Linked DNA regions of Arabidopsis thaliana. The protein of the gene in region 1 interacts with the protein of each later gene in a pairwise test. Each region holds a gene or a part of one and is shown in the gene's direction. Other genes may lie near its edges.

Evidence for each region.
Region 2: the proteins of IMPA-6 (region 1) and AT2G45820 interact in a two-hybrid assay, tested with the Arabidopsis thaliana proteins (2 studies listed by BioGRID, with this or other methods).
Region 3: the proteins of IMPA-6 (region 1) and PRA1.F4 interact in a two-hybrid assay, tested with the Arabidopsis thaliana proteins (one large-scale study listed by BioGRID).
Region 4: the proteins of IMPA-6 (region 1) and FER1 interact in binary tests that used the Arabidopsis thaliana proteins (3 or more experiments, as listed by UniProt).

Annotation. Positions count from the first base shown.
Region 1 is NC_003070.9:581,342-589,885, forward strand, and holds IMPA-6 (importin alpha), read left to right. Parts: upstream 1-2,918; 5' UTR 2,919-3,055; coding exon 3,056-3,277; intron 3,278-3,518; coding exon 3,519-3,615; intron 3,616-3,711; coding exon 3,712-3,803; intron 3,804-3,895; coding exon 3,896-4,027; intron 4,028-4,158; coding exon 4,159-4,344; intron 4,345-4,434; coding exon 4,435-4,601; intron 4,602-4,681; coding exon 4,682-4,760; intron 4,761-4,850; coding exon 4,851-4,979; intron 4,980-5,097; coding exon 5,098-5,225; intron 5,226-5,307; coding exon 5,308-5,695; 3' UTR 5,696-5,878; downstream 5,879-8,544. Other genes in the region: TAF13 (TBP-associated factor 13), read left to right, coding at 156-215, 303-377, 474-578; AT1G02700 (GATA transcription factor-like protein), read left to right, coding at 7,026-7,199, 7,322-7,891; AT1G02705 (uncharacterized protein), read left to right, coding at 8,243-8,544; AT1G02710 (glycine-rich protein), read right to left, coding at 8,365-8,544. UniProt on the Arabidopsis thaliana protein: Binds to conventional NLS motifs and mediates nuclear protein import across the nuclear envelope. Acts as a cellular receptor for the nuclear import of the virD2 protein of Agrobacterium, but is not essential for Agrobacterium-mediated root transformation.
Region 2 is NC_003071.7:18,860,714-18,867,863, reverse strand, and holds AT2G45820 (Remorin family protein), read left to right. Parts: upstream 1-3,122; 5' UTR 3,123-3,287; coding exon 3,288-3,441; intron 3,442-4,131; coding exon 4,132-4,185; intron 4,186-4,280; coding exon 4,281-4,368; intron 4,369-4,440; coding exon 4,441-4,717; 3' UTR 4,718-4,911; downstream 4,912-7,150. Other genes in the region: DTA2 (downstream target of AGL15 2), read right to left, coding at 1-188, 269-333, 420-612, 704-1,257, 1,361-1,540; AT2G45810 (DEA(D/H)-box RNA helicase family protein), read right to left, coding at 5,546-5,624, 5,710-5,783, 5,883-5,971, 6,049-6,229, 6,323-6,574, 6,796-7,034. UniProt on the Arabidopsis thaliana protein: Exhibits a non sequence-specific DNA-binding activity.
Region 3 is NC_003074.8:4,488,345-4,497,042, reverse strand, and holds PRA1.F4 (prenylated RAB acceptor 1.F4), read left to right. Parts: upstream 1-3,211; 5' UTR 3,212-3,484; coding exon 3,485-4,051; 3' UTR 4,052-4,410; coding exon of another isoform or gene 4,411-4,692; intron 4,693-4,746; coding exon of another isoform or gene 4,747-4,809; intron 4,810-4,887; coding exon of another isoform or gene 4,888-4,969; intron 4,970-5,057; coding exon of another isoform or gene 5,058-5,132; intron 5,133-5,219; coding exon of another isoform or gene 5,220-5,292; intron 5,293-5,382; coding exon of another isoform or gene 5,383-5,425; intron 5,426-5,582; coding exon of another isoform or gene 5,583-5,698; intron 5,699-5,810; coding exon of another isoform or gene 5,811-5,880; intron 5,881-5,948; coding exon of another isoform or gene 5,949-6,035; intron 6,036-6,153; coding exon of another isoform or gene 6,154-6,184; 3' UTR 6,185-6,415; downstream 6,416-8,698. Other genes in the region: PRA8 (PRA1 (Prenylated rab acceptor) family protein), read left to right, coding at 1,275-1,841; AT3G13700 (RNA-binding (RRM/RBD/RNP motifs) family protein), read left to right, coding at 4,411-4,692, 4,747-4,809, 4,888-4,969, 5,058-5,132, 5,220-5,292, 5,383-5,425, 5,583-5,698, 5,811-5,880 and 1 more; AT3G13690 (kinase with adenine nucleotide alpha hydrolases-like domain-containing protein), read right to left, coding at 7,032-7,265, 7,365-7,514, 7,587-7,734, 7,821-7,897, 7,995-8,155, 8,291-8,698.
Region 4 is NC_003076.8:226,884-234,541, reverse strand, and holds FER1 (ferretin 1), read left to right. Parts: upstream 1-4,490; 5' UTR 4,491-4,947; coding exon 4,948-5,255; exon of another isoform or gene 5,256-5,279; intron 5,280-5,344; coding exon 5,345-5,428; intron 5,429-5,540; coding exon 5,541-5,601; intron 5,602-5,701; coding exon 5,702-5,789; intron 5,790-5,890; coding exon 5,891-5,952; intron 5,953-6,047; coding exon 6,048-6,113; intron 6,114-6,206; coding exon 6,207-6,270; intron 6,271-6,358; coding exon 6,359-6,393; 3' UTR 6,394-6,589; downstream 6,590-7,658. Other genes in the region: TBL35 (TRICHOME BIREFRINGENCE-LIKE 35), read right to left, coding at 1-51, 148-300, 382-578, 680-851, 1,050-1,359, 1,450-1,660; AT5G01610 (hypothetical protein (Protein of unknown function, DUF538)), read right to left, coding at 2,548-2,918, 3,003-3,057, 3,381-3,467.

The DNA of each region.
Region 1 (8,544 bases):
TTTTGTTGCCATATGAACCGTATTTGTAGATATAGTTTCATTCCAATACAAGTAACGAATTAGGTAGAGAATCTTTGCTTTAAAGGGTTCTTGGTCGTGTAACATCTTTTAGTGTTTTACCACCTGAAACTGATCCAAAACTCCTCTGTATTTAGCCTCTTCCAGAGTCTGTGGCGCTTGTAGAAGACATTGTTGTGGAATACGTCACAGATTTGGTAGTGAGCTTTTTCTTTTTGTGAATGATTCATGTTTTACATTACAAGCGGAGAGATATTAGCTAACAAGTGATGTTTCAATGGCAGACACATAAAGCTCAAGAAATTGGTTCAAAGCGAGGAAGACTTCTAGTTGATGATTTCTTGTATCTTATCCGCAAGGTAAAAATTCTTTTTAAAAAGTACACAATCGATGATTGAGATGGTTTATGGTTTTGTATTCTATATCCGAAACTTTGGCGTCTTTGATTTATGCAGGATTTGCCAAAACTGAACCGCTGTAGAGAACTGTTGGCGATGCAGGAAGAGCTGAAACAAGCACGCAAAGCTTTTGATGTCGACGAAAAGGAACTCGTTGATTGATCTTGCTTTTCCTCAACGGGAGGAACAAATGCTAGGTAAGAGGAACCTCATGGATGCCGGACTAGGGACAGCGTTTTAGGTTGTAATCAGAATTCGAAGCACAGTAGCAAAAAAAAAGTGTGTTGACTTAAAAAAGGTGAAAAAAAATCTTGCACAAGGCCGACTCATATTAAATGTAGGCCCATTAGAAGAAAGCCCATTATCTAGCATCCCGTATATATCTACGGACGACCTTTAATTTTTCTTGAGTCAGGAATTTCGAAACCCTAAAAATTTAGAATAACCACCCGATTTTTGTTTCTTTCATTAAATTAATTACCGCAATAATTATAAAATTAGTCATCATTATAAGACTTTTGTTTTTCTCTAAATTTTTCGTCATCTTTCTGATATTTTGATTCATTATTTTACCATGGAAACAATAAATAAGAATGGTGATCAATTACCAACTAAAGAAAATCATTGTGATCAATTAGAGATAGAGCAAATAAACAACACGAGCATGAAGAAGAAAAAGTCATCACGTGGGATGCACATGTTCTCCGTCGTCATGTTCATGCTTCGTCGCCGCCGGGGAGAAAACCCTTCAACACCAGGTTCTGGCGGCGAGTCGTTAAGTCCGTACGTAAACTCCGTTTCGAAATTACGATAATGCCATCGTCAACTTTTACTAACACAATTGTTCTCCCTCCGGCTCCTCCTCCTCTGCCAGCGACAGAAATGGGAGGAGACGATGGTGATAATGATAATGAAGATGATGATGATTCCGAGGGTCGTTTATCAGAGACTATGGAGGTTTTCACGGCGGCTTCATCTTCATCATCATCAGGAATCTCGGGATATGGATCAGCCATGTCCTTATATGATGATGATATTGATGAGGAAGAAGATGAATGTTATAGTGATGTGGAAGGAGGAGACGATATGATTGATGAGAAAGCTGAGGTTCTATGCAATAATGAAGATGCAAAATCAGGTTTACACTGATCGTTGCAAAGCCAAAGGGATATATAGTGATGCATTAATGATCTTATTAATTATGGTTCGTATCATCTATCAAGTTTACGTCATCATCATTCAGGTTTTAATTTCTTGGTCATTTTTGGTTTTTGTATTATAATTTAATTTAATTCCTTTTAACTTTTTCTTCATTTTTGTTTCTGTAATTAGTGAGTGTATTTGAATTCATTAATGAGAAAATAGGAGAATGAAGTATATCTACTAAATTCTATTTGTGTTTGTGGGGAATGTTAAATTTGGTTTGCAGATTAAAGATCTCGTTAAATATTTTATGTTCAATGTTTTCAATCGGAAATTGGTCATATTAATAGCACATTTGACCAATTCATTGAATCGAGTTCTTTTCGAAAATTGAAGACTTTGATAATACCAACCGTTTATATTATGCATGGACATATGCGTAAGTGAAAAATCATACTGAGCGATGGTAACAATTACACAGTTGATTCCATTTCGTGAAAAACTCATAGAAACAACGGTGACAAATGAAGTTTCCATAGCCAAGAATTGGATCCTCGCCATACGATTAACCTACCGAGATGAACCAACGGTGATCATCTCTCTAAACTCCAAGACCAATCCTCAAGATGATGCAAAAATCTCGACTCTTCAACTATGCATCAAAACCAAATGCCTCATACTCCAACTACTTCATATGAAACAAAATACCAATCTCGGCGAATGCCTTAGTGATCTATTTCGTGATGAGAGGTTTGTTTTTGTAGGAATAGGTATTGCTAAAACTGTCGCTAAGCTCGGTGGGCTAGTTAGAGTAGTGGTTAAGAAAGTTGACGTTCGTGATCTGGTAAAGGTAAATTTTCCATTTAGTTATGGTGAGAGGTCAAGGGTTAGCTTGAAGGGTATGGCTTGTGAGTTGTTGGGATTTGGTTCGTGGAAACCGAAGAGGGAGATTTGTCCGAGAGACTTGGCTAATGAAGTTCTTGATGTAGAGGTGGTTAAGTTCTTGTCCGTTGATGCTTATGTTTGTCATGAAATAGCGTTTAAGATGCTTAAATACCAGGCCCAATTTATTGTAATCAGATTCATAAAACATTACTTTACTGAGCAAACGTTGGGCCGATATTGGGCTAATTTATATAATAAAGCCTCTTTATTAAAGTCAAAAGACAGGTCAGCATTAGTAATCACTATATTACTAAAATCGCGCTATACCTTTTGTAGACGTTGCGATTTCAAATTCAAAAGTTGTGGCAATATCGTGATTAATACTAAAGCCTAAGCCCAATATCGTCTTTTACCCGTAGCCTCCTCGAATCCCGACGTCACGTTGTATAAATTATATCGCATCACTCCAAAACCCTGATTCTCCTGCTCCTTCGTCTTCTTCATCTTCCTCTGAGAAATCAAAAACTCGATCGATCAATTCGTTGTTCGTCTACATCGATTCCTTCAGAACCTAGTGATCCTCTGTTTTGGTTGATTCGATTAAGCTAACCATGTCTTACAAACCAAGCGCGAAGACTGAGGTTCGCCGGAACAGGTATAAAGTATCTGTGGACGCCGATGAAGGTCGCCGGAGACGGGAGGATAACATGGTGGAGATCCGGAAGAACAAGAGAGAGGAGAACTTGCAGAAGAAGCGGCGTGAAGGTTTTAATCCTTCCATGGCGTCACAGCCAGGGCAGGATTTCTCCTCGTCTCTCCCTACGGAAACGAGAGTACGTTCTTCGTGTTCTATATCTAATTGATTGTGTTTCTCTCGTTTATGTTTGGTACCGAATTTAGATTGAGAACTAGTTAGGGTATCTCGGTGAATTAGAATGAAATTGAAAGCTTCTGATCTAGTTACCTAGATAAATAATTGGATCAGGAGTACTGAATTTTGGGGTTTACTGAACCCTAATTTCAGAATCTGCATTGCTTGAGGTTAGATAATAAGTTGCCCTGATTCAATTGCAGTTGGAGAATATACAACAGATGATTGCTGGAGTAATGTCAGAGGATAGAGACTTACAATTGGAGGCGACGGCTAGCTTCAGGAGATTGCTTTCAATTGGTACGTGATTTATAAATCTCTTAACATGGCGTTTAGGGTTTGATTGTTTTGTGGGTTTTAGTTTTTGCTTATTGTGGTTGGTTGAATTTTTTGTAGAGCGAAATCCTCCAATCAATGAAGTTGTTCAATCTGGTGTTGTTCCTCACATTGTGCAATTTCTTTCCAGGGATGACTTCACTCAACTTCAGGTGAGCTTGCCTTTCTTATATCTAAGTGTAGCTTGGTGCTTTGATTCATATGCTGATGGCTTTTGCTGTTTGCTTTGCTTGTATAACTATAGTTTGAGGCAGCTTGGGCGCTTACCAATATCGCTTCAGGGACATCTGAGAACACTAGGGTCATTATTGATAGTGGTGCTGTCCCTTTATTCGTCAAACTTCTTAGTTCTGCAAGTGAGGAAGTTCGAGAACAGGTATCAATTTAGATTCAATATCAATTTTCTTTCTATTGTTCTGGCAAAGAAACTCTTAGATCAAATTGCTGATGACTCGATTCCGACTGTTTTAACATCCTGATTTCTATGTTTTTTTCCCCTGATTATAGGCTGTATGGGCATTGGGAAACGTTGCTGGTGACTCGCCAAAATGTCGTGATCATGTCCTAAGTTGTGAGGCTATGATGTCTCTTCTGGCTCAATTCCATGAGCATTCAAAGCTCTCCATGCTGAGGAATGCTACATGGACATTATCAAATTTCTGCAGAGGGAAGCCGCAGCCTGCATTTGAACAGGTTTCCTTGCATATAAGATATATAAACCAATTTGAAGTGTTTTTTCTCAACTGTTTATTAATATGAGAATGTGTCATTGCATTTGTTGAGCAGACAAAAGCAGCTTTACCAGCTCTTGAGCGCCTTCTGCATTCAACCGACGAAGAAGTTCTCACAGATGCATCCTGGGCTCTCTCATATCTCTCTGATGGTACAAACGAGAAAATACAAACTGTTATCGACGCTGGTGTCATCCCTCGCCTTGTTCAGCTCTTGGCGTAAGTAATTTTCTTTTAGCTACCAATTCTATATCATTCACATATATCTTGACCTGATCTCGTTATCTGTGTCTTCTTAGTCATCCATCGCCCTCAGTTCTGATTCCAGCTCTCCGTACAATTGGTAACATTGTAACCGGAGATGATATTCAGACTCAGGTAGTCTATTATCCGTAACTGTCTGCCTTTTATATCTCCTATAGTTTTGATGTTTACTTAAGTAAATCATCTCTGTTTTCTCCATAACAGGCGGTTATTAGCAGTCAAGCGCTTCCTGGTCTGTTAAACCTTTTGAAGAACACATACAAGAAGAGTATCAAGAAGGAAGCTTGCTGGACTATCTCTAACATTACAGCTGGGAACACAAGTCAAATTCAAGTGAGTTATATACATTATTAACAAATAACAATGTTCAAAAACCAATATCTTTTCTTATAATTTAAAACCAGAAGTCGTATATACATTTGGATTTAACATCGATAAATTTGTTGTGCAGGAAGTGTTTCAGGCAGGCATTATTCGGCCTCTGATTAACCTGCTTGAGATCGGTGAATTCGAAATTAAGAAAGAAGCTGTTTGGGCAATCTCTAATGCAACTTCTGGTGGCAATCATGACCAAATCAAGTACAACAAATCTCATTGTTTCTGTCTCTTTTTAGTTTTTTTTTCAGTGATTCTTGTTATAGAACCTCTTATATCCTTGCAGGTTTCTCGTGAGCCAAGGCTGCATCAGACCCCTGTGTGATCTCCTACCGTGTCCCGATCCAAGGGTTGTCACAGTGACTTTGGAAGGTCTAGAAAACATTCTCAAAGTAGGTGAAGCCGAGAAGAATCTAGGCAACACAGGAAACGATAATCTGTACGCGCAGATGATTGAAGACGCAGATGGTTTGGACAAGATTGAGAATCTTCAGAGTCACGATAATAATGAGATTTATGAGAAAGCAGTCAAAATCCTGGAGTCGTATTGGGCTGCAGATGACGAGGAGGAAGATATTGGCGGTGTGGATGCTCCTGAGAATGTTCAGTCTTCCGGTTTCCAATTCGGAAACCAAAGTGGTAATGCTCCTACGGGTGGATTCAACTTTGGTTGAAGGTTTCTGTAGTATTCTCTCAGTTGCTTGAACTTAAGAACAAAGGTCGCTCGTTGTCTTTTCTAAAAACAGTTTAGGTTTTTTTTTCTCTTTTTTGGGTCATGTTTTGAGTGAATTTTGTATTTTTAGAAGTTTGGATATTTTGTTCTCTCGCGTTTAAGGCGGAAATTAAAGTGTTTCACTATCTGCTCTGCTATGTGCTTTTTAAGCTCTCCTGCTAAAAACAATTATGAAATAAATGCGATAAAAATGACTTCTTAAAGCTTCAAAATTTATGCAGAATCAACATCTACATGTCTTATTTACGCAAAAATCAGTTTAATGTTAATGCGTGACAAAATAAGAAGGAAAATAGACAATCAAAGTCGCGAATTAAATTGCAAATATTTAGTTAGGTAATGCGTTATAATGCAATTTTAATACGATCACAATAACTATATACTATTTATTTTTTAATGATCAATTTATTTTTTAAAGTTAGTATACATAAAAGTTTGCAAATTGTATTTATCTATAAAATATTTTTATTTTATAGTTTATAATTGTTATTAAGTAACGTCCTGCCAAACTCGTCCCGCCAACTCGTCCCATAAAAAAAACATTTATTTTATTAATGTTAATCTTATTTCTGATATGTTTATGAATTATTGTCTAATTATTTTGTAATTTTGTAGTAATTATATGCTATCAAATATCTCTGCAGTTTGATGATTATAACTGAATTGTTATAGTCATGGAGAAAAGCAATATCAAAAATGATAATTTTGTAGTAATTAAATGATATTAATATTTTGGAAGGTTTATTTTAGTAACTAATCGTGTAGTTAATGTGGAGAGATTTAGAGAAGATTGTTAAATATTAAATATTTAATTTAAAGATTTTTTTTTAATGATCAAAAACAAACAATAAAATTTAATGGCAGCCATTGTAAATAAATCTCAATTCTATTAATTTATTTTGCAAAATAATCGTAAAAATGTATATATAGATTAATCCGTGACAAATAATAAATAGTCTGTTTTTATGTTTTTGACAGCAAAATCTTATTTGAGGCTCTGTTGAATTTTATTTACCAAGAAGGTAATGCAATTAGCATATTTTTCTTTCTAAAGAAAAGAAAATAATAAAAATTAAGACAGACAAATCTGGAGACACCGATCGAGCAGCTTCTAACTTTTTCTAGTCATTCTAAATCCGCCACGTCATTAACAACGAGGCATGCCATCAACACGTGTCGACACGAGTCTCTCTAAAAATGGCTACTACAAAGTACAAACTTTCTTTAATCAGCGAGGAAACGCAGAAAACAAAAATTGTGTAGAAAGCTAGATGATGATGCAATCCCGATTATTAGCGTTTGCTTCAGCGGCGCGTTCACGTGTTCGACCAATCGCTCAAAGGCGTTTAGCGTTTGGATCATCCACGTCTGGTCGCACAGCTGATCCAGAGATCCATGCCGGTAACGATGGAGCCGATCCAGCTATCTATCCGAGAGACCCTGAAGTAATAATTGTTTCTTTTCTCTTGTTTTCAATTTTAGACCATGTTGAAAATAAAGAAAAATGTTCTAAAATACACAAAGAAATCAACTTTGTTTAAGTTTTTGGTGATTGCTTGTGTTTCAGGGTATGGATGATGTTGCAAACCCTAAAACGGCGGCGGAAGAAATCGTAGACGATACTCCCCGACCGAGTTTAGAAGAGCAACCGCTTGTACCGCCGAAATCTCCACGCGCCACTGCGCACAAGCTAGAGAGTACTCCCGTTGGTCACCCGTCAGAACCTCATTTCCAACAGAAACGAAAAAACTCCACCGCTTCTCCGCCGTCGCTTGATTCCGTGAGCTGTGCTGGTTTAGACGGTTCACCATGGCCGAGAGACGAAGGAGAAGTGGAAGAGCAAAGGCGAAGAGAAGATGAAACAGAGAGTGACCAAGAGTTTTACAAACACCACAAAGCTTCTCCGTTATCGGAGATTGAATTCGCCGATACTCGGAAACCTATTACGCAAGCTACCGATGGAACTGCCTACCCAGCCGGGAAAGATGTGATCGGATGGTTACCGGAGCAGCTAGACACGGCGGAAGAATCTTTGATGAAAGCAACAATGATATTCAAACGCAACGCAGAACGTGGCGATCCTGAAACGTTTCCTCATTCTAGAATCTTAAGAGAAATGAGAGGCGAGTGGTTTTAAACTAAAGACCACAATAAAATGTTAAGAAGTGTCTGAATAAACTTTTGTCAATTAGCTTCATTGAGACATTTTGGTTCCTTACGAAAGTGAACAAAGCCTCTTTATGTCCCAAATCTCTAGAAACCCTAAAATCAAAAGAATTTGTTCGTACATTATGGATTACAGTTATGGTATGGTCCAAAAAAGGGTTTTGTTCTTGAATCAAAGCTGTAAAATTTAAATGGTATCAGATTCCAAAGTTATTGCTTTTGAAGGTTCTTAAAAAAGTCAAGTTCTTTAAAAACCATAGACTTTCTTCTTCATTCTTGAACCATTTGATAGATGGCAAATTTTTCTCTCTTCCTCTTAAAAATGGAGTTGTTTCTCTGTTTCGTCACTCTGTTTTTACTATCACAATCTGTTGTTGCATTGAGTATAACAGAGAAACAAGAGATTGAATGTGCAATGTGTTTAGAGTGTGAGAATCCATGTGATCAGCCACCTCCTCCGTCGCCTTCCCCTCCGCCTCCTCCGCCACCACTAGAACTCCTTTGTCCTCCACCGCTACCACCGCCTCCACCCCCCTTAGAGATTTTCTGTCCGCCACCGCCTTCTCCACCACCTCCTTCTCCTCCTCCTCCTTCACCACCACCACCATGTAACCACTGCCCCTT
Region 2 (7,150 bases), on another chromosome or scaffold:
AATGTACGGCGAATTTGAGGGAAGTACACTTAGAGGTGTCTCTGATTGGCCAGTAATGTTGTAATGGCATCATTCCTCGTACGTAAAAATCATAGAACATAGGTCTCACGTACAATGTCATTGAATCACATGCCATTATATATTTCTCACTCACTGACCATGCCCATCCTTCTATATAAATCTTGTACCTATTCCATCATTATCACACATTTAAAATCGAATCTTTGCAAATATTTCCTAAGTACAAAAAGTGTGGCTTAAGTTAAACCTGTGGGTGCATTGGTTCTCTAGGTTAGAGTTCTTGAATCCTTCTCTTGACTCTCTATCCCAATCCTTCACAATAATAAACATTTTTGATCATTTAGATTATTTAAAAATTGCAATATATAAAAATTATACATATTTTGAGAAATCCTAACCTGAATGTAGAGACGTGTGTTCCAATCTTCTTGAGCTGAGACATTACATCTGAGAAGATCTCTTCTAGTTGGAGCCACATTAGGGTTTCCTCTCCAATAAGCATACGCCACGCGGTCTTTCCATTGAGTCATCTTATTCCCTTCTTCTATCGCCACTAGCGATTTATCCCAAGGCTTTATATTAACCTCAGCCCTAGCCCAATAATAATATAATTAGCTAGGTCCAATAACAAGCCCATTAAATAGAGAACAGAATAGAATTAACATGTGTGTTAAGCCCTTACCAGCCCCAGAAGGACCAATCAGGGAAGACAATATCCAAGCTGGCGTCATCAGAGCAATAACGGAACAAAGGAGGCGGGGCCGGGTGTTGTTGACCTTGAAAGTCTTTAGATCGGACGGTTGGTCTATCATCTGGGTCAAACATGAGCTCAAGATCCGGTAACCTACCTGGGTACCACCGTAGTAACTGTACGATGCCCCACAGAGTAAAAACGTCTCTTGTTTGGATTGACTTTCTATATTTCTTAACGTACACTCTCCCGTCGAGGATTACTACTCTGAAATGCGCCGTCCTCCTGGCTTTCTCAAGCATCCCTCTCGTTACACCTGTCTCTTTCCATGGCCGTAGATCTTCGTGGATCCAACGGAAGTAAGAAGGACACGTGGATATTCTTGAATGGCTGCTTCTGGGTTTGTCGTTGTTTCTCGAGGAGCCATTTTGGGGAAATAATTGAGTTTGGTTCTGAACGACGCCGCATTGGTTAGGGAATCTTTGGCTTGTGATTGGTGATTTTCTGATACTAGTTGTTACCTGCTTCAGACCTGTAAAAGTTGTCTGAAGTACAGAGAGATATGAATTTATTAACTCTTCAAGTTCAAGATTCACTTGATTGAATAAAAAGTTTCTAAAAAAGAAGTTACTTCAGATTCGAACTCACGAAATCGAAACAACCCAATAAGTCTAAGAGACCAGCAGATATGAAGAGAGAGGTGACGAGGAACAGAGTAGCTTTAGCGATGCTTTTTGCTGGATGCGACGCCGTTTTAAGATAGACATACTTATTCTTGTTCGTTAGAAGATTGTTGTTGTTCCTCTTCATGCTTTTCCGTTGAAGCATGAATCTATATCTATCTCAGCTTTATATATATCTATGTTCACAAACATTCAACAGGAAGAGAAGAAAAACGAGAATCAGGTGAGATTAAACGTTACCGAAGCTAGGAGGAAGCTCAAAGGTTTGATTCTGGTGATCGATTGGTGCTCTTCCACGAGGATTTGAATCTTGTTTCACGTTATCTTCAACACTAACCAGAGTTCACATCTTTTGTGTTAATGACGTTCATATTTTTGTGTGAATCTTGTTTACTTTTTAGTTTTTCGAAGAGTTAAAATGTTTTTAAATATTAAATAGATAATATTTTATTAATTAGTAGGAGACATTTGGTCATCCATATTTGGTATTCCTATGCTCAAATCACATATGGACATTGATATGTGATACACAAATGTTTCCCAAATAATCGTCTCTTATTAACGTTGTATTTATTGGTAAATAACTAAATACAAGACCTTTGATGTTCTTAGAAAAATAATCTGCTTACTACAAAAATAAAACTGCAAGAGTTCAATTAATTAAAGTCCTCTTTGGGAAAGTTTGTTATAAGTGCTTTAAACTGAATAAAAGAATCCGAACTTCGAAGAAAGAAGAAAGAAGATAAACCTTAACCCATTAAATAAAGGTCAGTGACATCATAGTCCATATTCGACCACTCATCATCATACAAGACAGATAATTAATCGTAAATAATTCCATGTTGTAGAGTACTTTTTATTATTATACAAATACATTAATACATCTTTCACAGGCTGTTCGAAACTGTGAGTCTGTGATTAGTGATTAGCCTTAATTAATTTACTTTATTGCTTTGTTAGAAAAAAAATTACACCTTTCTTTAAATTAAAACAAGTTGGGCAGGAAATTTAAAAACCCGTTGGGCCATTAGGATTCACAAAAGCCCAACACCTACAAAAAGAGATGTCTCCATCTCATAGTCCATATACCACATGCTTAAACCAGTTTAAATTGCATATACCACGCGCCACATAACCGGAAAGTTTTGTACACGCGCGAGACACAGACATTATCCTTTTTGTATCTGTCTTCCAGCGTGTCGAGTCAGTGAGGCTCCACGTCACCCTTTGATCCACTTAAATTTTAAAACTAAAATAATTGTTTAAATGAATTCGAGTGATTGATATTTTATTATAGATTTAATACACACCCGACACTCTGTCAATTCTATAGGCATACGAGCTCACTCCAAATTTAGATTCAGTTTTTTAATACGAACTTTTTAGTTAAGCCAAGATTAGCAATAATATAGATCATTTATTTTCTTGATTGTAGTTTGATTGTTGTTTTTCTCATAATAAAAAAATCCCAGCTAAAATCTGATTTTCAATTTTAAACCAATTTATATGGTAAACAAAATTTTAGTTCGGTATAATTGGAAGAATTAAGTTTTGTTGAATATCAGGAAAAAAGAAGGGGAGGACAAATTTTCTACAGAGGTGACGTGGCATCATTGAACCACTTTACTTGTCGGCAGTGAGGTGTGTTTAATCACGTGTAACGCATCCAATGCGTATGAGAGCTTTACAGCCGCACGATCACATGGGTACAAAAATCAACGGCGAAGCAAAACAAGAGTCTCACACTTATTAAACGCGCGTAGTACGCTCCACCGGTATAAGCTAACGGAGGATATAAAAACTCTTTAACTCATTATTGTCCTAAAATCTCAATTTTATCCATTTTCACGGAAAAAACATAAAATCTGTTCTTCTTCTTCGGCTGAGAGACAATGGCGGAGGAGCAAAAGACGAGTAAGGTTGACGTAGAATCTCCGGCTGTTTTAGCTCCGGCGAAGGAACCGACTCCTGCTCCGGTGGAAGTCGCGGATGAGAAAATTCATAATCCACCTCCCGTCGAGTCCAAAGCTCTTGCCGTTGTAGAAAGTAAGCTTTCTATTTACATACGTGTGTGTTTTATATATGTTAATCTTCTACTTAGGAGGATTCATTCATGTTTACGATGAATTATTATAGTATGTAATTCAGAATTCTTACGTTTGGAACTAAGGTTTCAATTTACAATTAACAAATGGATTTTCTTAAGATGCCTAAGGTTTTTGTGAGTTCTTTTGCATATGACTTGGTCTATACTCTATTTGTTTAGGTGAAATCCATCGCTGTTAGAATTTACAACTTCATCATGGCATTTTCAAGAGAATTATGTTTTTCGAGGATGATATTATTAAAATATGATTAATAGTAAAGCAATGTTCCCTGTAATTAGTGTTATCAAAAAGTGTATGGAATCATGACAAATTAGTTGTGGACAGCTATGAATTAAGGAAAGTGGGTTACTTTCTTAATATTCCTACATTTTTTCCTTCCTTTAAAGTTGCTTAACTCTTGGAAAATAACAATTAAGTACTAACTTTCCAGCAGTTTTTATAATCCTTGAACATTCATTTGTTCATCTTTATTTACTATCTGTAATTCCTTCTGTGTGGAGTTTCGTTTTATAAACTACTATTTTGATGACCTTATTAGCCAATTAGAGCAACAAAATTTAACTTAGTTAAAAGTGAGCTTCTTGCAACAAATATCCATGTGTTATACTTATAAGTGTGCTTCTTGCAGAACCCATCGAGGAGCATACACCTAAGAAAGCTTCATCTGGTTCGGCCGATAGAGGTCAGCTGATAACAACACTTTGTTTCTCATGTCCAGTTTCTTAGTTACTTAGTTCAGTAATTTACTTCAAATGTGTGTTGTGTGTGTTTGGTCAGATGTGATACTTGCCGACTTGGAAAAAGAGAAGAAAACGTCATTCATCAAAGCATGGGAAGAGAGTGAGAAGTCAAAGGCTGAGAACAGGTAAACTTTCATCATCTTCTCACCCAAAGATTACTATTGCTTACAGATCTCTGATGATCTTGAAATGGACAGGGCACAAAAGAAGATCTCTGATGTGCATGCTTGGGAAAATAGCAAGAAAGCAGCCGTAGAAGCTCAACTTAGGAAGATCGAGGAAAAATTAGAGAAGAAAAAAGCGCAGTACGGTGAGAAAATGAAGAACAAAGTAGCTGCAATCCACAAGTTAGCAGAAGAGAAGAGAGCAATGGTTGAAGCTAAAAAAGGAGAAGAGCTTCTCAAAGCTGAAGAAATGGGTGCTAAGTATAGAGCCACTGGTGTAGTACCAAAGGCAACGTGTGGATGTTTCTAAGCCTTTATTGAATTTGTATCTTTGTAACAATTCATCTCTGTTTCTTTCTTCTTCTTTTGTTTTTGTGTGATTCAACAACTCTTTTTAGTTTTTGTTATTTGTTTGGTCGTTTGTGTCTTGTTTACATATTGGGTGATTGTGTGTAAAAGTGAAAGATTAATGGAGTATAATTGTATGAAGCATCAAATCTTGTTTTGCCTTTTGTTTCAGTTGTACGACTTCACATCTGATCTGTAACTCTTAAAATGCTAAGACACTTGACTTGACACACACCAACTATAATCCTTAAACAGTTCAGGCACAGGTGGAGATCTAAAAGCAATAAACAAGCGAATGAAGTTAAAATGTCTTCTTCGGTTTGATCTCACTACTCGGAAATTCCTCTCAAGTCTTCAAGATGAGAGAACATCAAAATGAAAAGGTGAAAAGGTTTCTAAGAACATGAAAATTAGAGATGAGAGAAGACAACTTTAAGGTTCATATCATGCAGCAGAAGAAGTCTTCAATTCAAACCAAATCAAGCCGGTACTGCTTTAAAGGTTTAGACACAATCAACCGCTTCCATCGCCATCAACCACCTATACTGTCTCTTCTTGCCTCAGTACAGTACTCTATGTGTTGCCTTCATCTCTAGAACGAGCTAGTGGCTGCCAAAGCTGAATGATTTGCCTCCTCACTACACCTAAATAACCGCAAACCAAAATCAATGGAAATTTGGTCTATGAGCAATGCAGGTTAGTTCTAATGTCAAGATGCCTAGAGAGGGATTTGTCTCACCGGTTAGTCCATCAATGCCTTGCCGGGTAGAGAATGTACACCAGGTAGAAGTTACTGACAGTAGATTGCCTTGTCGATAAGTGAAGGTATGGGCTTGATTTCAGTTCCAAGTTCTTGCTCTGTCTGATACCTGTTGGAAACCAAATAATTGAGTAAGAAAGCTATAGCATCTATGAAAAGAGAGGCCACACCAGTTGAGAAAAAGAAACACGAACATTTTGAAGCGGTCCTCATAAGTTACCAAATTCACAGCCAACCCAAGGTGTCCAAATCGTCCTGATCTGCCTACCTGGTAATATAATGAAGCAAAAACCCATTCACAATTTGAACAAATAAAACAGAGCAGGTTCTCAAGAAGATAAACCAAAATCGGCTTCCCTTAACATACCCTATGTAGATACGACTCAGAAGTCCTAGGAAAATCGAAATTTATCACCACATTCACAGCTTGAATGTCAATCCCACGTGTAAACAAATCTGCAACAGACAGACATTCCCCGTGAAACATAAACACATTTGTCAATGTTCAAGCACATGAAATACACAAAACGTACCAGTGCAAACAAGATTTCTGCATGCACCATTGCGGAAATCATGGAAAACCCTGTTCCGATGGTCTTGAACCATCTTTGCATGGATATAGAAGCATGAGTAACCAAGTTCTGTAATTTTCTTGGCCAACAGCTCAACACGATTAACAGAGTTGCAAAAGATAATGGATTGGTTTATTTGGAGCTGCAATAGATAAAACAATATTTCCTTTAAAAGATACATCAAGTAGCCAGAAAATAAAACATTGGGGTTTTAAGACTGTAACAAAACTCTGACCTTAGAGAATAGCGTGTTAAGGCAGTGCACCTTCTGTCTCTCTTCAACAAAAGCATAATATTGGGTAACACCCATAAGTGTGAGCTGATCCATGAGATTGATAATGTAAGGCTTCTTGAGATACCGATCCTTGAAAGACTTCACAGTGACAGGAAATGTAGCTGAAAACATCAAAATCTGCCGGCTCTCTGGCAAGAACTGTATCAACTCCTCTATAGAAGGTTGAAATTCTACAGACAAAAGCTTGTCGGCCTGAAAAAAGATGTTTGCGAGTTAAGACCATGAGCTCATGAGGAAAAGAAAATTATTCAATCAAAATCTGCAAATATGAAGCATAAGAGGAATCGATTTTGTTTTAACTTTAGAGAAAGTTATGTTCAGGGAAAAACTAGAAATGTCCTTTTGGGCAAAAATCCAACAATGTTTGTTAATAAGAAAAATCTAGCTCAGGGGTAATAGAATTAGGAACTCACCTCATCCATTACAAGCATGGCACAATCTTTCAAAACACACACACCCTTTTTGGCAAGATCTAATATTCTTCCAGGAGTTCCAACCAGTAAATGGACAGGTTGATACAATCGCATGATATCATCCCTCAGACTGGTACCGCCAGTGGTGACCATAACCTCAATTTTCAAATATTTGGAAAGCTCCTTGCAAACCTGGGATGTCTGAAGGGCGAGCTCTCGGGTTGGAACTAGAATTACGGCTGCATAAGAAAAAAGATCAACAAAAGTACTGAAAACTCAGTAAGAAAGTAGGGTTTCACTGGAAGTTCCACTGATCAACTAACTCACTACAGAGAAAGGTAGGAGATCTTTTAAC
Region 3 (8,698 bases), on another chromosome or scaffold:
TCCGTTGTTATAGCTTTTTTTTGGTGAAGTTTGCATGGCCATGGAGAACACTAACTTTTTTTTTCATGTAAGTAGACAATTTCAGAGATACTAATCCAAGAGATGGCGGATACGTTTTACAATCACGAATCTTGTATGATCACTAACCATTGGAACAATAAGAGTATATAATGAGTATATCACCATTTAGTTCTAGTGGGTGGTGATCATATAAGATTGGTAATGGTAACAGTGAAACATATCCCCCATCTATTGGGATTAATTAGTCTCCCTGAACAGTCGTGAGAGAACCTTTGTTTGCTGCGGCAGACACTAGAGACTGTTGGAAGACCTTGAGATATACAAAAATGTAGAATTATTTTGAAAATAGGTGATGTGGATCTGGTACTACTTGATTTACATATATGTATTTGCTTCTCTGCTTACTTGTAACGAAAGCTACATTATATAATATACCTTTGATTTAAGCAATCTTGTTGAATAGGTTTCTCTGGTTCTTATGGAGAAAAACTTAAGATTTTTGTAATCCATCATACATTTTGGTATAGTTTTGATCTTATATGTATTGTGCTTTGACACAAGCTAACTATTTTCTTGTTTCACAGAGCGGGATCAATTCTAAAGCAGCCATGAGTCTGGCTCGCTAAAGAAGCCTATCGATGTGGATCGTCCAATGGAGAGAGAGCATGTGACATGAAACCTTCGTTGTATTGGGCCAATATCTTTTGTAATTGGGCTGACTAAAAATCATGATAAAGTCCGAGGGAGACTATAAATAATTTACTCATTGTTCCTGCCGACATTACACGTGGCGAAAGAGTAGTTATATGCCAGAGAGACTCCTCTAAAATGGGGTCACGTGTAGCCTGTATCGACTATTCAATAATGCCACTCTCGCTCGGTGACACCGTGTCTCTTACTTTATCATTAGTCTTTCAAATTAACTATATAGTCCTTCAACATGTAGTAATTCATCTACTTATAAATTGCTGTTACCCAAATCTCGAGTATCTAAAACTTATACTTTTCAGACATTGACCAAGTAGTGAATCAAATCCTCACGTTACACTATATTGTAATCTTTTTAAAACACGATCTAATTAAATTTTGTTTTATTTCATAAACATAGATTAGTTTAGAAAACGCCATATGCAAATGTGTATCACCTAATTCTTGGGACCTTTCAGAATTCATATATACACATAACAAACAGTCTTTTCATTTACTTTCTCTATTCAATCTCACACGCGCTAAACCATAACCCGATATTACTAATGACGAACTACGGTGCGATTCCGACGTCGTCTCATGCATCTCCGTTGGTGGATGTCGAGTCTCTCTCACGCGCTAAACACCGTATCAAAGCCGGGCTAGCCACGCGCCGTGCTTGGAGAGTGATGTTCGATTTCCACTCCATGGGACTGCCTCACGGTGTCTCCGATGCGTTCACAAGAATCAAGACCAATCTTGCTTACTTCCGTATGAACTACGCAATCGTTGTCTTGATCGTTATCTTCTTCAGCTTGATCTGGCATCCGACATCGCTCATCGTCTTCACCGTCTTGGTCGTTGTTTGGATCTTTCTGTATTTTCTCCGTGATGAGCCTATCAAGCTGTTCCGGTTTCAGATCGATGATCGGACGGTCTTGATTGTTTTATCGGTGTTAACCGTCGTTTTACTCCTGTTGACCAACGCGACGTTTAATATTGTTGGAGCGCTTGTGACCGGAGCTGTGTTGGTTTTGATCCATTCGGTGGTTAGGAAGACGGAGGATCTTTTCTTGGATGAAGAAGCGGCGACGACTGAGACTTCTGGGCTGACGTCATACCCGTCGACTTAAATCGTTTCATCTCGAAATTTGTGTATCTTTTCTATTTTTGTATATTATCTTGTTTTTTTAATTATGCGTAATCAATTTTTATTGGTGTGAGTTTGGTTTGAGACTTTCTCTCTCTCTTTTGTTTTCTGAGTTTTGAGCTCTGTCTGAAGTTTGAACAATTCTAATTTGTTATAATTTTTATTACTCCCTCTGTCCATAAAAGATAAATTTTTTAGGAAAAATATTTGTCTTACAAAGATAGAAATTTTATATTTGCAATGCAAATTTTAAAATTGTTTTCCCGTTTTACCCTTACTAAATAATTAGATAAATATTTATTATTATTTTTAAAATATATTAAGAGGTTAAAATTATGTTTATACAATATTTCTTAAAAAATGTGCAATTTCTAAAAAATTCATCTTAGTGGGACGGAGGGAGTATTTTATATTCGCAAAACTCAGGAATAATTTCTTGGAATGATTTATTAATCTGAAATATTTAAAATGATTTAATCTGAAATACATAATAAATAATCAAATTAATAAGTCAAACATTATAAATTCAAAATGGGTTGTAATGAATATTCCCTTTTTGCATTCCGTAACAAAAAAATAATCAATTTTTGTTGTAAAGTTTATTCAGGTTGGTTCACCTTCAAAGTAGGAAAAAAAGTTTGGTCTTGATTTAAGTTCTTTTTTCATTTGGGTCACACAAATGAGCAATTTGAAGCAAAAATCCTTGATATATATGCAGGCCTTATTCAAATTTCCAATGTAAAGATTTGAAGCAAAAATCCTTATATATAATTAGGTCTTTCAAAAGGCACAAATATTCTAGCCCATGTAATTCTAAACGGACGCCATTAGATATGTAAGAGCATCTTCATCAGTAGTCTTTCAATGAGATACCCAATAAAAAAAATATAATAAAAAAGGAAAAAGTAAGAGAGAAGGAAGAAAAAGTAGGAGAGAAGGAGAATTAAGTTTCTTGGAGGAGAAACTTTGAGAAACTATTCTCATTCAATTTGGACAGCTGTTATCCTATTATTAGTTTAACTATTAAATAACAATTAATATATCTGTCTTAATTAAAATATTAATATTTTAATTTTTTGAAAAACTTTCCTTACTGATGGAGATGGTCTAACAGTATTGAGCATACACATCTTTGTACGCGTCAGCTCCCTTCGCCGGCGCTTAATACCACCGCCACACTTGCCGCCAATTAGAAGCAAACCGGTTTAAAGTGGCGTATCACCAACATTACGATCTTAACTACGTCTATCGACATCATCCTCATCCCCATAATCTTATCCACTCAAGACTCAAGTACACTGGACGTGGCAGACCAAGTTTTTCTATTTAATTCTTCCAACTTCATATTCCAGGAACTCGATCGACTTTCAGACATTGACCAAATTGAATCAGATCATAACGCTACATCCTTTTATATATATATAACATCACGCTACATTATTGTAATAATATCACAAAATTTCTACGGAAAAAAACTCGGTCTAATGTTTTAACACACCATCTAATTTATTTGGTTTTATTCCATATGCAAATTCAAGAGACCTTCTTCATATATTATACACAGAGAGATAAAACAATAAATCAGAACAGTTTTACATTATTTCAATCAAGTCATCTTATTCACTAATGGCGAACAACGACGAGATTACCACGTCGTCTCATGCATCTCCGGCAGTGAATCACGAGTCTATCTCACGCGCTAAGCAACGTATCAAAGACGGACTAGCCACGCGCCGCTCCTGGAGGGTGATGTTCGATTTACACTCCACGGGACTACCTCACGGCGTCTCCGATGTTTTCTCAAGAATCAAGACAAATCTTGCTTACTTCCGTAGTAATTACGCAATCGTAATCTTGAACGTCATATTCTTCAGCTTGATTTGGCATCCGACCTCGCTCATCGTCTTTACCGGTTTGGTTTTCCTATGGATCTTCCTTTATTTTCTCCGTGATGTGCCTCTCAAGGTGTTCAGGTTTCAAATCGACGATCGTGCGGTCTTGATTGGTCTATCGGTGATTACCATCGTTCTACTTCTATTGACCAACGCGACGTTTAATATTGTTGCGGCGTTGATGGCCGGAGCTGTGTTGGTTCTGATCCATGCGGTGATTAGGAAGACGGATGATCTTTTTTTGGATGAAGAAGCGGCGACGACTGAGACTTCAGGACTGACGTCACACCCTTCGTCTTAAAACGATTGATCTCCATTTTTATGTATATTCTATTGTTTTTGATCATCTTATGTGTAATTATAGTTTATGGTGTAACCGTGTAAGTTTGGTTTGATTCTCTCTCTGTTTTTAAGTTTTGAAGTATGAACAAACTTAATAATGTCAAAGTCTTCGCTTCTTGTTTTTGGCGGGCTGCTTACTTTTATCACTTTTTGGCGCCTTATTGGGCCATTCATTAAGGCCCAATAGTATCAGCCCATAAAATTCAAAAAGGAACATATTTTTACATTTAAACAGTGTGTCTCACACTTCCATTTACACGTCAGCTCTCTTCGCCGGCGCTTAATACAACCGTCAACCTCGCCGCCGGCTAGAGGAAAATGGCGTATCACCAACCGTACGATCCTTTCTACGTCTATCAACTTCATTCTCATCCTCATCATCTTCCGCCGCAGCTGCCACTGCTCGCCGACGAACCTGGGGCGATTAACACTCTCTTTGTCTCTGGCTTGCCTAATGACGTTAAGGCTCGTGAGATCCACAATCTCTTCCGTCGTCGTCATGGATTCGAATCTTGTCAGCTCAAGTACACTGGACGCGGTGACCAGGTTTGTAAAAATCTCCAATTTCTGTTTTTTTTTATTCCCATTTTTAGAAAAGCTGTATACTTTGTGATTCTATCGATGTTTAAGCTTTCTGAAGTTACCTATCTTCAGGTTGTGGCATTTGCAACATTCACGAGTCATAGATTCGCCTTGGCTGCAATGAATGAGCTAAATGTAAGATTCACTTTGATCGAATTGTGTGACTCTATTGTTACATTGTGTTATTTGATTGTGGTGAAGCATTTCTTTTAGGGTGTGAAATTTGATCCTCAAACAGGATCAAATCTACATATAGAACTAGCTAGATCAAACTCTAGAAGAAAAGAAAGGCCAGGTATTTTCTAGACTTTACTCTCTTCTTACTATTGAGTTAGTGTGGTTGGTAAATCGATCAATGAGTAATGAACAGTCTATGTGGATAGGAAGTGGACCTTATGTTGTGATTGATAACAGAAACAAGGAAATTTCTAAGTCTCAGGATGACCAGAGTGATGAAGGTAATGTTCTGGTTACCTTGTGGACTCCTAATTATTTAAATGTATGAATGCTTTATGTTTCTGCTTGATCATTGTTGATGCATCTAGGGGATAGCGATCCAGATGAGGTGCAGGAACCTGGAAATAGCGATTCTCCAAAGGAAAACGATACTACCAAAAGGTTGAAAATGACAATTAGAAGCTTGGTTTTGTAGTTTTTTAGGTCAAAAGAAGAAGACTAATGTATTCTGATTTCTTTGCAAATTTACAGCGAAGCGGATTCTGAGCCAGATAGTAAAGCACCATCTGCTAATGTAAGTCCAAGCCAAAAATCTAATCTTTTTAACCAGTTGAGATATCTCTATTTCTCAAGTTCGTTGAAGATTAATAAAATCTTATTTGTTACTTACTGTAAGATACTTCCATATAGACTTCCTTATGGTTCAGTAGCTTACTGATAGATTTCTACAGGGGCACTTAGAGAAAGCATCTGAAGGAGGTTCTGGTGCTCGAGCTTGTTCGACCTTGTTTATAGCTAATCTAGGGCCTAATTGTACAGAAGATGAACTCAAACAACTCCTATCTAGGTAACCTTGTACAATGACTGAAACCTACAGCATTAGGGTTTGAATGTTTCTTCAAACAATCATTGGTTTTTGCCTTTCCGAAAGTCGATTGATCTGATCCATTTGCTTACAGATATCCTGGTTTCCACATTTTAAAAATCCGAGCTAGAGGCGGAATGCCGGTTGCATTTGCTGATTTTGAGGTATAAGTTGTTATACATGCTTTTGATTTTGTCTTTGTAGTCTATATACCCACTCTCACCAATTGCAGGAAATCGAGCAAGCTACTGATGCCATGAATCATCTTCAAGGGAACCTCTTATCCTCTTCAGACCGAGGCGGCATGCATATAGAGTAAGAGTAGTTTTTCTTACACTTGTTCAACAATTAGTTTAAAATTCAAATTTTGCCAGATTATTACTCTCATAGTCATTACAGCTACCCCAATGTCACACCCTGGTTTTTGGTTCTTCCAGATATGCAAGATCAAAGATGAGGAAACAGTAAAAGATTATCATAACCACAAAGCCTCACTTCTCAAATGAAGAATGTGGTGGATAATGTACCATATGCCAATGGTAGTCTCTTATGAAAACAAGATATATAGAGATCATAAGCAAATGAAAGCTGTATTTCTTATTTTAAATCTTCACTTACTATTTGTTGTCATGAAGATGAATCCTTCTATGCTGACACTGACTTAAGAGATACATATGAATATATTTATTCAAGATTTACTAATAAGATCTCCAAAATCTTATGTTGTTATGAGCACGTTGATAGAAAGAGACAATCAGATATTTGTCATGATCCAGTGAGTAAAATCCATGGAACCTCTGAACGTACTGCCCCACCAAAGTCCTCGCCATCTTTGGGCTTTTCTTGTGTGTTCAATTTTGAAATTTTTTGATAATTGGTGATGCGGATAAGTAGAAAAGATACTGAGGACCAACGCATCACTGTATTGACAGGCAAAGTCAGATTCAAACATGACTTCTCTCTCATGCACCATTATTACAATTTTGAAGACTTCCAATGTCGATGTCGTAAGGAGAAGGAAGCCCTCTCATTGTTTTGTTTTCTTCTGCAGAACAATTCTATTGACTCTCCTAAACCAATAATTCAAATTCGAAAAAAGGAGAAAAAGCCTCTCTTGTTGTTTTGTTCTTTTAATACTCCTTTACCAAAAACAATTTTAAATTCCTTGATAACATATTTAGCAACTGTTTTTGCATCTTACCCCACTATACAAACAAAAAAAGCTGTGTTGCCAGCTTTGGACCACATCACTTAAAACAGAGGACTTTACTAAATACCCTATCAACTAAACTTATCATAAAGCAAAGTAGTGTGATTAGTATTGCTTGTTATGGTTTAGTTCAAACCTCTGGCTTCTTTCCCTCTCCCTCAAAGCTAGTCTTGGCGTTTCAACAGACAGCCTTTCACTGAACCTATCCGAGCCATCATTCGTTAGCTGACCGCTGTAATGATCCGCCCAGAACCTCCCGCTTCGGTTGCCTGCCTCTGAACCTGGAGTTGATGCGTAGTTTCCATCCATTATCATATCTCCTTCCAGTATACGCAACACCTTCATTATTTACCAGAAGTTTTAGTATCATCAGAAACTTAAACTGAATGATCCTGAGACTGAGACTGAAGAGTGATTTCAAGAAGAGCTTTTGGTTACCTGAGACATGCGTGGCCTCAAATGTGGATCTCTACGTATGCACAACGAAGCTGCATGAAGCATACAAATGACCTCACTTTCTACAAAACGGTTCCCAAGCCTCGGATCGATAAGTTCATCTATCGCATATTCTTCCAGTAGAGGACGTGCCTGAGATCACAAGCCACAAAAGGAGAGTCAGTTCTGTTACTTTGCTGAAAACTAAAGATATGAAATCATTACCCATTCAGTCAGGCATTGCTGGCCTTTCGGCCTGGTGATATCAATGGCTTTGCGGCCAGTGACTAGCTCAACTAGAACAACCCCGAACGAGTAGACATCAGCTTTTTCTGTGATTTGCCCGCTTTGAGCATATTCGGGAGCTAGATAGCTGCACACCAACCAAGCAATTTCTTTTAGCAACAGACAAATTGTTAAGTTTCAGGAGCAAAATGATAGCTTTAGTAGGTGTCTCACCCGAAGGTTCCTATCACTCGTGTATCTACACCCATTTCCCCATCAGGCTGCCATCTTGCTAGACCAAAATCTCCAACCTGATGATATTATCAAAGTTGACTCAGGACGAAAAAGCATATGAAACAGTGGATATCTGCTGTTACGATGAATGAGCAAGACCATATTTATACATACCAGTGGCTCATTATCATGAGTGATGAGGATGTTGTTAGGACGCATGTCTCTGTGGACAATACAGCCAACTCTGCACTCTTCGTGAAGATACCGAAGACCTCTTGCAGCTCCAACAGCAATCTTTTGCCGTGCTGGCCATTCCAGAGTTTCCTTTTGACGACCTAGAAAAGAGCTTGATACTGAGCAAACATTTTTCACCACAAGAGCTTCAATGGAAATTTTAAGCAACATTTTTTTTTTGGATAAAATATGAATTAGTATTACCAAGGCACATGTGAATTTTAAGCAAATATTACCGTATAGATGAGAGTCAAGTGAACCATTGCAAATGTATTCATAGACCAAGAGCCGTCTGCTGTCTTCAATGCAGAAACCAATTAGCATAACGACGTTTCTGTGCTGAGCACAGCTGAGAACTTCCACTTCGGAGCAAAACTCTACATCTCCTTGAGAACTGGCCAATTTGTGTTGCTTTACTGCAACTACCTGGCCTTCTGGTAGCACACCCCGATGAACAGATCCATAACCACCCTCAGCCAAGAAGTTAGCCTGTGAAAACCCACCCGTTGCAAGCTCTAATTCAGCGTATGTAAACAGCCTTGGGGGTTTCCCAAATACTGGCGCCTTGTGCTGGCAAATTGAACAGAGAGGAGGTGGACCAGGAGGAGCACTTCGAGAGAGTGATATTGCATCTCTTACGTTTC
Region 4 (7,658 bases), on another chromosome or scaffold:
TTCTTCTCCCCGTAGCAGTTTCCTTCGCTTCCCGGGTTCCATTCTCGGCTCCTGACCAGTTACAACAGCTCGGTTTTAATGCGAAAATAATAAAGAGAGTAGAATCAATCATATTGATGGAGAACAGGGGATAAGTATTTTTGTTACCATTGATGTGTAGGAGACATTGTAACGAAGAAAACTCGCTTTTTGTTTGGATCGACATTGTTAGCAACCCAATCACCCCAACTATCCATTGCCATCTCCATTCCCTCGGCGCTCTTCACCTCCTCGCATGACCCTTTTTCTTCACTGCTCCATCTTTAGTTCGAATATGCAATGAGTACCAATTGTTAATTTTTGGTTTTGAAGATGAATAAAATGATGTCTATATATAATTACCGGAGCTTGACAGAGTCTTGTCTCCACCATAAGTAGGTGTTGAAGATTAGAATATCAGCATGTTGCCACTTTGATGCATGTTTAAGAACAGAATCGGGTCGGATAATCCGCTCGCTCAATCTGTGATTAACAGGGTCATCAGAATTCGACTCCACGAGCAACGGTGCCCAGAGAAACTCCACTGTGGCATTGTAGTCCTGCGGGTACATACACACCAAAGTAACCAATTGCACCAAAACCACAACAAAGAGTCAAACTCAAGGCATAAAAGTTGTTAAACTCAGAGTGTATTTATTACCTCAGCCCTGAAAATGGTGAGGTGAGCGTTAGGAGACATAGACTGCTTGTCACGTGGAATGACAGACTGTAAGAGACAAACCATTGAAATCCATTGGCCTCTGTTTAACGAGTCTCCAACAAACATCAATCTCTTTCCTCTCAGCTTCTCCCACATTTCTATCGCATTCCATCTACCAGATAAAATGATAACCACAGTAAACACCTAAATCATCAGTTTCTACCGTTCTTTGCAAACAATAGTAGCTCCCAAAGTCATAACAAACTATTCATCCATATGTTCTCCATTTGATCAAATCAGTTATCCACAACACACATAACTCTTACAGAAAAACTTGGAAAAATGAAACAAGCAGCATAAGTTTTTTTACCTCTTCAAGTTGCAGGCATGAGGTTGCCATCTCCAATGCTGATACTCCAAATCCTTCCTACCATGCTTCTGACAAGCCAACTGGTCGGACATGTAAGGACACTGAGATTCCTTGTGTAAAGGGTATGATGATGAATTATCAAAGACCCATTTCCCAGAAAAGACATCACATTTCTGCTCCTCCTTTGTTACTTGACCCGGGTGGTCTTCAAACGGGTCAACCCATCCGATTTTCTTCCCACTGTACTCTTTCGTCGAGTTGCATTTGCTGAATCTATCCAAAACCTCTGCATTTTTTTCAAAACAGAATCCTCCAATTAGTAAGTTCGTGATGCTTTCAGCAGAGAAAGTAGCACGAATCACTTCAAAATCGGAAAAAAAAAATCAAATCAGAACAGTACCATGAGCTCCCAAGTAGTTAATCCGAGGAACATTAGGCTTGACGAAATCGAACGTGGAAGGTTCTCGGAGATTTTGAGTGTGACTCGCGGCGTGGTGATGGATCTGCTGAATGCTACGCTCGTTGAAGAGAATCATAAAGGTGACAACGAGAATAAAGAGGAGACCCGCTAATGGAAGTCTACTCTTCTTTCTACTCCATCTCTGCGACATATCGGAGACTTTCTTTTTAGAGAAAATGTCACCACCACAGTAAGAGGAAGACCTCGTCTCTTCTTCTTCACCAAAACTTGCTTTGATGCGACTGGTACAAGTTTGGAGCTATGATGATCCAGTGAGTAGAGGCAGAGAGAGATTAATAAAAGTTTAATTTGTTGTTGTTATCTGTTTTATAAAATATAAATTTGTAATTTGACTTTGACGTGTTTTGTTTACCAGATCCCATCTTTCTCCTCCTCTTGGCTCTATTGCATCCCTCGAGCTGTCTTCATCTCTTTTTTTTTTTTTTTAATAAATCCTTTTGTTTCTTTCTTTTAAAAAATTTCACACTTCTCCTTTTTTCTTCTTTTTAATTCAGTTTTTTGCAAAGAAAAATGGATGGATTCTTTTGGGCATGTGAGATCAAACACGCTTCAATTGCGAGTGTGATTTATTCTCAAATCTGACTATTATAAATGCTGTTAAGCCAAAAGTAGAGTAATAATGTTCCATATTTTAGGCTTATCATAATCAATTCTTTTAACTTATGTACAAAAACTTTTTTAAACACCTTTAGTTACCTCTTTAAATGTACATCAAAATGATTATCATCTCATGCTTCTACTTTTTTTGGTGTGAGTGTCAAATTCATTTTGAATATATGAGAGAACATAAATTAACCCAAGTAAAAAATTGTAAGACCAAATCATTGAGCACACGAATAGTAGTTCTTTACAATTGGAAAAAAAAAAGAACAAAGTAGAATTGCTCCGGCCATATTGAAGTTATGATCAGATTTATAAATAAGTTGATGTATACTCACAGTAGGAGGCTTTAAATCAAAACCAAAACGTAAATGGAAAAGCTTGAAACTTTGGAACCAGACAGAACACAGACAGGTGTTAGAATTTATCGACTCGGAGACCATTTCTTTGAACCTCATAAGCATCTCTGCTTCTGCTCTTCTTCATTCCTGCAGTGAAATAGACCTTTGATGCATCTGTAGATATGCTTGTCACTTTTACCCATATCATTACTTTTGTCTTGATTCCTTCCACATCTGTTAGCTTTCCTTTCTCAAGATGTCCTGTTACTGTTGTTGTGAACTTCAACACTGATGAATCCTTGTATCCAACTTCGCATATCGATGGGATCAAAACGGTTAGTTTCTTTGTCTCTTCATCGAACTCGTAGTTTGTAGCATCTCCCGGGAAGATTCCAATCGGCAAATCATATTCTTTTAGTAACTCAGGCAACGGCTTCTGCATTTTCCCTGTCAACATGATGACAAATGGGGAATTTCAAAAAAACAAAAAATTGAAAGATGCAGTCAGAAGAAGAATAAAAAAAAGCAAACCTTTGATTTTGTTGACCAACCATTTTGTTCCTCCTTCAATGCTCGTTGACACCGACTGGCATAAACAAAAACATTGTTTTATATGTTAGAAAAGATCACAGTTTCAAACAAAATAATCTAACCACATGAGCAAGAAGAGAAGACATTATAGGATCATATATTTGAATCATTTCTTAAGATATCATGGTTTTGGTAATTAGATGTTCTTCCTTATGTGACGTGATTTACCTAACAATGAACTCAAAACATTCGTACAACTGCATGATACCAAAATTACGATAAAGGTGGTTGATTATATCGGAACCACGTCAATAGATCAAAATCGATTAGGAAAACAGATGAATCAGATTCTATAGGATGGGTCAAAAAAAGACGTACGTTGAGATCGTTGCCGACGGAGTCAAACTGCTTGTTAGCCTTTTGGCCTAACCAGTAGGATCCAACCTTGTTGAAGATCTGATCCATATTCTCTCGAGAAAGGATAGAGAAGATTTTGAGAAAACGAAGGACGACTTTCTTTCTTTTTCTTCCGGGAAAGAATTTTGGGAACCCACCACTCTCGCACCGTTGGATTCGTTATTTGTGCACTATTCCTGCAGCCAATTAACTTATGACATGTGGCAAATACATAAACACCAATATATTTATTGAAGCAAGCAGGCAGCATTATACTGTACAAATTACAAAAAAAAGTACTTGCCTATCACTCCTCCTTGGGACTGACTATCTATCTATTGGGCCTTCAATGAAAATCAGATTAAATAGGTGCAACACAACTTGGGAACTGAAGAACCACATGGCACAAAACAGAGTAAAATTAAAGACTACAATCAATCCTTTTTTTTTGCCATTCCTCCCATGATTTTACTTGTCTATTAGACGAACCTCAGCTAAATTTGTAATTACAGTCGAAAATATTATTAAGCTCTTTAACACTTTTATAGCCTACCCTTGTCTTTGTGCATTCCAGAGTAATACGAATCGATTCAAATCAAGCCAATAAAATAAAACCAAGCCTAACTACACTTTATTTAATGCTTAATTTTTGTCCTTGCCAACATTACAACTTTTTAGAAAAACCATTTGATATGATTTTTTAACTTGGGCCGTGACATTACTAATGAGGCCCACAATGTACTTACTCCGACGTGTAATTGTCTCCGATAAAGACAAGGAACCATTTGGAACCTCTCACGCGCTTTAGCTGGAAATTACGTGGAGTTGAGCTACTCGCGACTCTATCCTATGTATAATTGTATATCAGTTTTCCGTCTCCATCAAATATCCTAGAGAGCCACGAATTTTTCCTTCTTTGTTGTAAATTATGAATATTAGGCCACATAATACGGAAAGTCTTAAAGGGTTTGGACCATTCTCAATCTTATGTTCTAGTAGCTTGATGATTTTTTATAAAAACAATATGGAAATACTTTTATCTCTATCCGATTTCCTATGTCAATATGTGTCACAGGATTTTACACGTCTAACTTATGTTGGAAACGCTATCATCTTTTCTTTTTTTTTTTTTATAGTAAACAATTGTATTTGTTATCATCTACAACTCTAAAAAATACATTTCGAAAAATAGGAGAGAGCGAGTAGGAAATAAGAAAGTGGCAACGCGAGAGTAGGAACCGGAAATGGTAAAAAGATTCTGAGGATAAAAGAGAAAGCAGAGAAACAGACAAACTTTATTTGGAGAGATGTTAACGTGGATCGAATATCCTCACGTTCACACTATCCCATTGGATGTAGCACGAGGCCGCCACACGCCCCTACATCTGGCTTTCATATCCACCCTCCACGTGGATCTCAATCCAACGGTGACCACACGCCTTTTCCCTCTTATATAAACCCTTCCTCCTTCCTCTTTCTTATCATCATCACCATCTCTTACAACAAATCTCAGGCGGCTCAACACTATCCTCTTCTACATTTTCCAACGATGGCCTCAAACGCACTCTCGTCTTTCACCGCCGCTAATCCCGCTCTGTCTCCTAAGCCACTACTCCCTCACGGCTCTGCTTCTCCGTCGGTTTCTCTCGGCTTCTCCAGGAAAGTTGGCGGCGGCAGAGCAGTGGTCGTTGCAGCGGCTACGGTGGACACAAACAACATGCCGATGACCGGAGTCGTGTTCCAGCCTTTCGAAGAGGTGAAGAAAGCCGATCTGGCCATTCCAATCACATCTCATGCCTCTCTCGCTCGCCAGAGGTTTGCCGACGCTAGCGAGGCAGTCATTAATGAGCAAATCAAGTAAGCTTCTCTTTTCTTTTCTGTCTAATTAAAGAAACGAAAATGTTTAAAGATTAGATCTAACGGAGGAGGTTGCTTTCTATTTACAGTGTGGAATACAACGTCTCCTATGTGTACCATTCAATGTACGCATACTTTGACAGAGACAACGTTGCTATGAAGGGACTAGCCAAGTAATTATTACCTTCTAACTCTAATCTTAATCTTATTTATAATAATCTTGATCGTATACTTCAAAATGAGATATATATGTCCATACTAAACATGAGTTTTTATAATCACCAGATTTTTCAAGGAATCAAGTGAGGAAGAGAGAGGGCATGCTGAGAAGTTTATGGAGTACCAGGTTTTCTATTTTTACCTTCTTTTCTGTTTTAGAAAAGTTGATAAAGACTTGTGATTCACTTAGTTAATATTCATATTGTTGGTTTGTTGTCTCTATACAGAACCAAAGAGGAGGAAGAGTGAAACTCCACCCTATCGTCTCACCTATCTCAGAATTCGAACATGCTGAAAAAGGAGATGCTTTATATGGTAAAACTTTAAGCAAATACACTATCTTAATCCTAAAATAACAACTTTTCTTTTTTTTTAAAGATACAGATATTTATTAGTTTACTAATCTTTGTTTTCAGCAATGGAGTTGGCTCTGTCTCTAGAGAAACTCACTAATGAGAAGCTTCTAAACGTTCACAAAGTAAGTTCCCTAACTTATCCATTTGATCATCAAAGATTAAACTTATAGTCATTTTCCTAATACTAACTAACACGTACTTTTGGCCAACAAAACAGGTGGCCTCAGAGAACAATGATCCCCAGTTAGCTGATTTCGTTGAGAGTGAATTTCTGGGAGAGCAGGTAAAAGTTCTTTTGCCTTTGTTCGGATTACAACTAGTGACTTGTATAATCTGTACATGTTCTGACTCAGAATATATTATGGACTATTTCTAGATTGAAGCAATCAAGAAGATCTCAGACTACATCACCCAGCTAAGGATGATCGGCAAAGGCCACGGTACGAATCAAAACCCTATATTGAGATAGTGTTCTCAGACTTGAATGGTATTTCTAAAAGCTTATTTACATTTGTTCTGTCTTTGCAGGAGTTTGGCATTTCGACCAGATGCTTCTGAACTAGACTTGGACCTCTATAAGTTCACTTTCAGATGACCAATGTTGGGGTTAAAACAGAAGAACCCGAAGATTCTGTAAAAGCTTTAGATTGAACATTATGGACTAATAAGATTGTAGTAGTAAGCTTTGTGTTCAAGATGGTTTTTGTAATAACTTCGTAAGCTTAATCAATGAAGTTTTTGTTTTAGTATATTCTAACTAGCTATAAACCTACGGCCAAACAATGCGTAACTAAGAAAATAGTGAAAACTCAGACCTATCTAATTAAACATAGAATATTTATGATCCAACTTGAAAGAGTAAGCATAACGAACCTGTTTATGAAGAACATGTAAAAGAAGCATGAAGCGTATGTCACTTTCCACCGAGAAGGACAAGCTGGTCACTGGGATATAACTGAACAGCAAACAAGAACAAGATCACTGTCACATCAAAGCAAAAGAGATGCTCTTACTTTGATTCCATGTTGAACAGTAGAAAATCATTTCTAACCAAACAAAGACCTGTCTGTTCTACAAAGAGCTGACAAATGTACGAAAATGAGTATCCATAAGAAGTTCATGACGTATGAAAACACCATTAAGCTTTTCATGTACAGATTCTCCCTTAGTGATTTATCTTTTCATCATGGTTCTTCAAACCACTAAGCATTAAGTAAAGATTGAGAATCTTATTTGTATAATGACGAAGAAGTCCCTCGCACGGGAACAATCAAGATTGGATACTTGTATGACCCTAACAAGAACACTTATCACAGTAGTAATGCTCTGATCAAAAGCAAGGAAATGTCAAATAATCCCGAATGTTATAGCACCATGCATCTAATCTAGAGAAATACGCATTCTAATAAGATAGTATCCTCTAAGATAACGCAACCAATTTGGAATCCATAAACAACAAGTTTCAAAATAGCTCAGACTCCAGCTAAAACCCTAGCAGAGAACAGATATGGAAATCGACACCACAAGTGCTTAAAATTGGACAAGGACGATGAAATTGAGAGAGACGGAGAGAAAAACTAACCACAATTTGAGGGTTATTAGTCATCGAGAAATTGAACGCCGACACTCCGACCACTGAGCTTCCGGGACTCTCAGGGAACCGAAACCGAAAATGGACAAAAACAAATCCCAATTTTGTAGCGAAGGGCACCAATCGAGTATCGCCACTTAACATTTCGGTACACTACAAACCGGGTCGGGTATGTTGTTACGCAAAAGCTATAGTTAGGCCTTACAAACTGAGGCCCATTTATAGAATATTTAATGT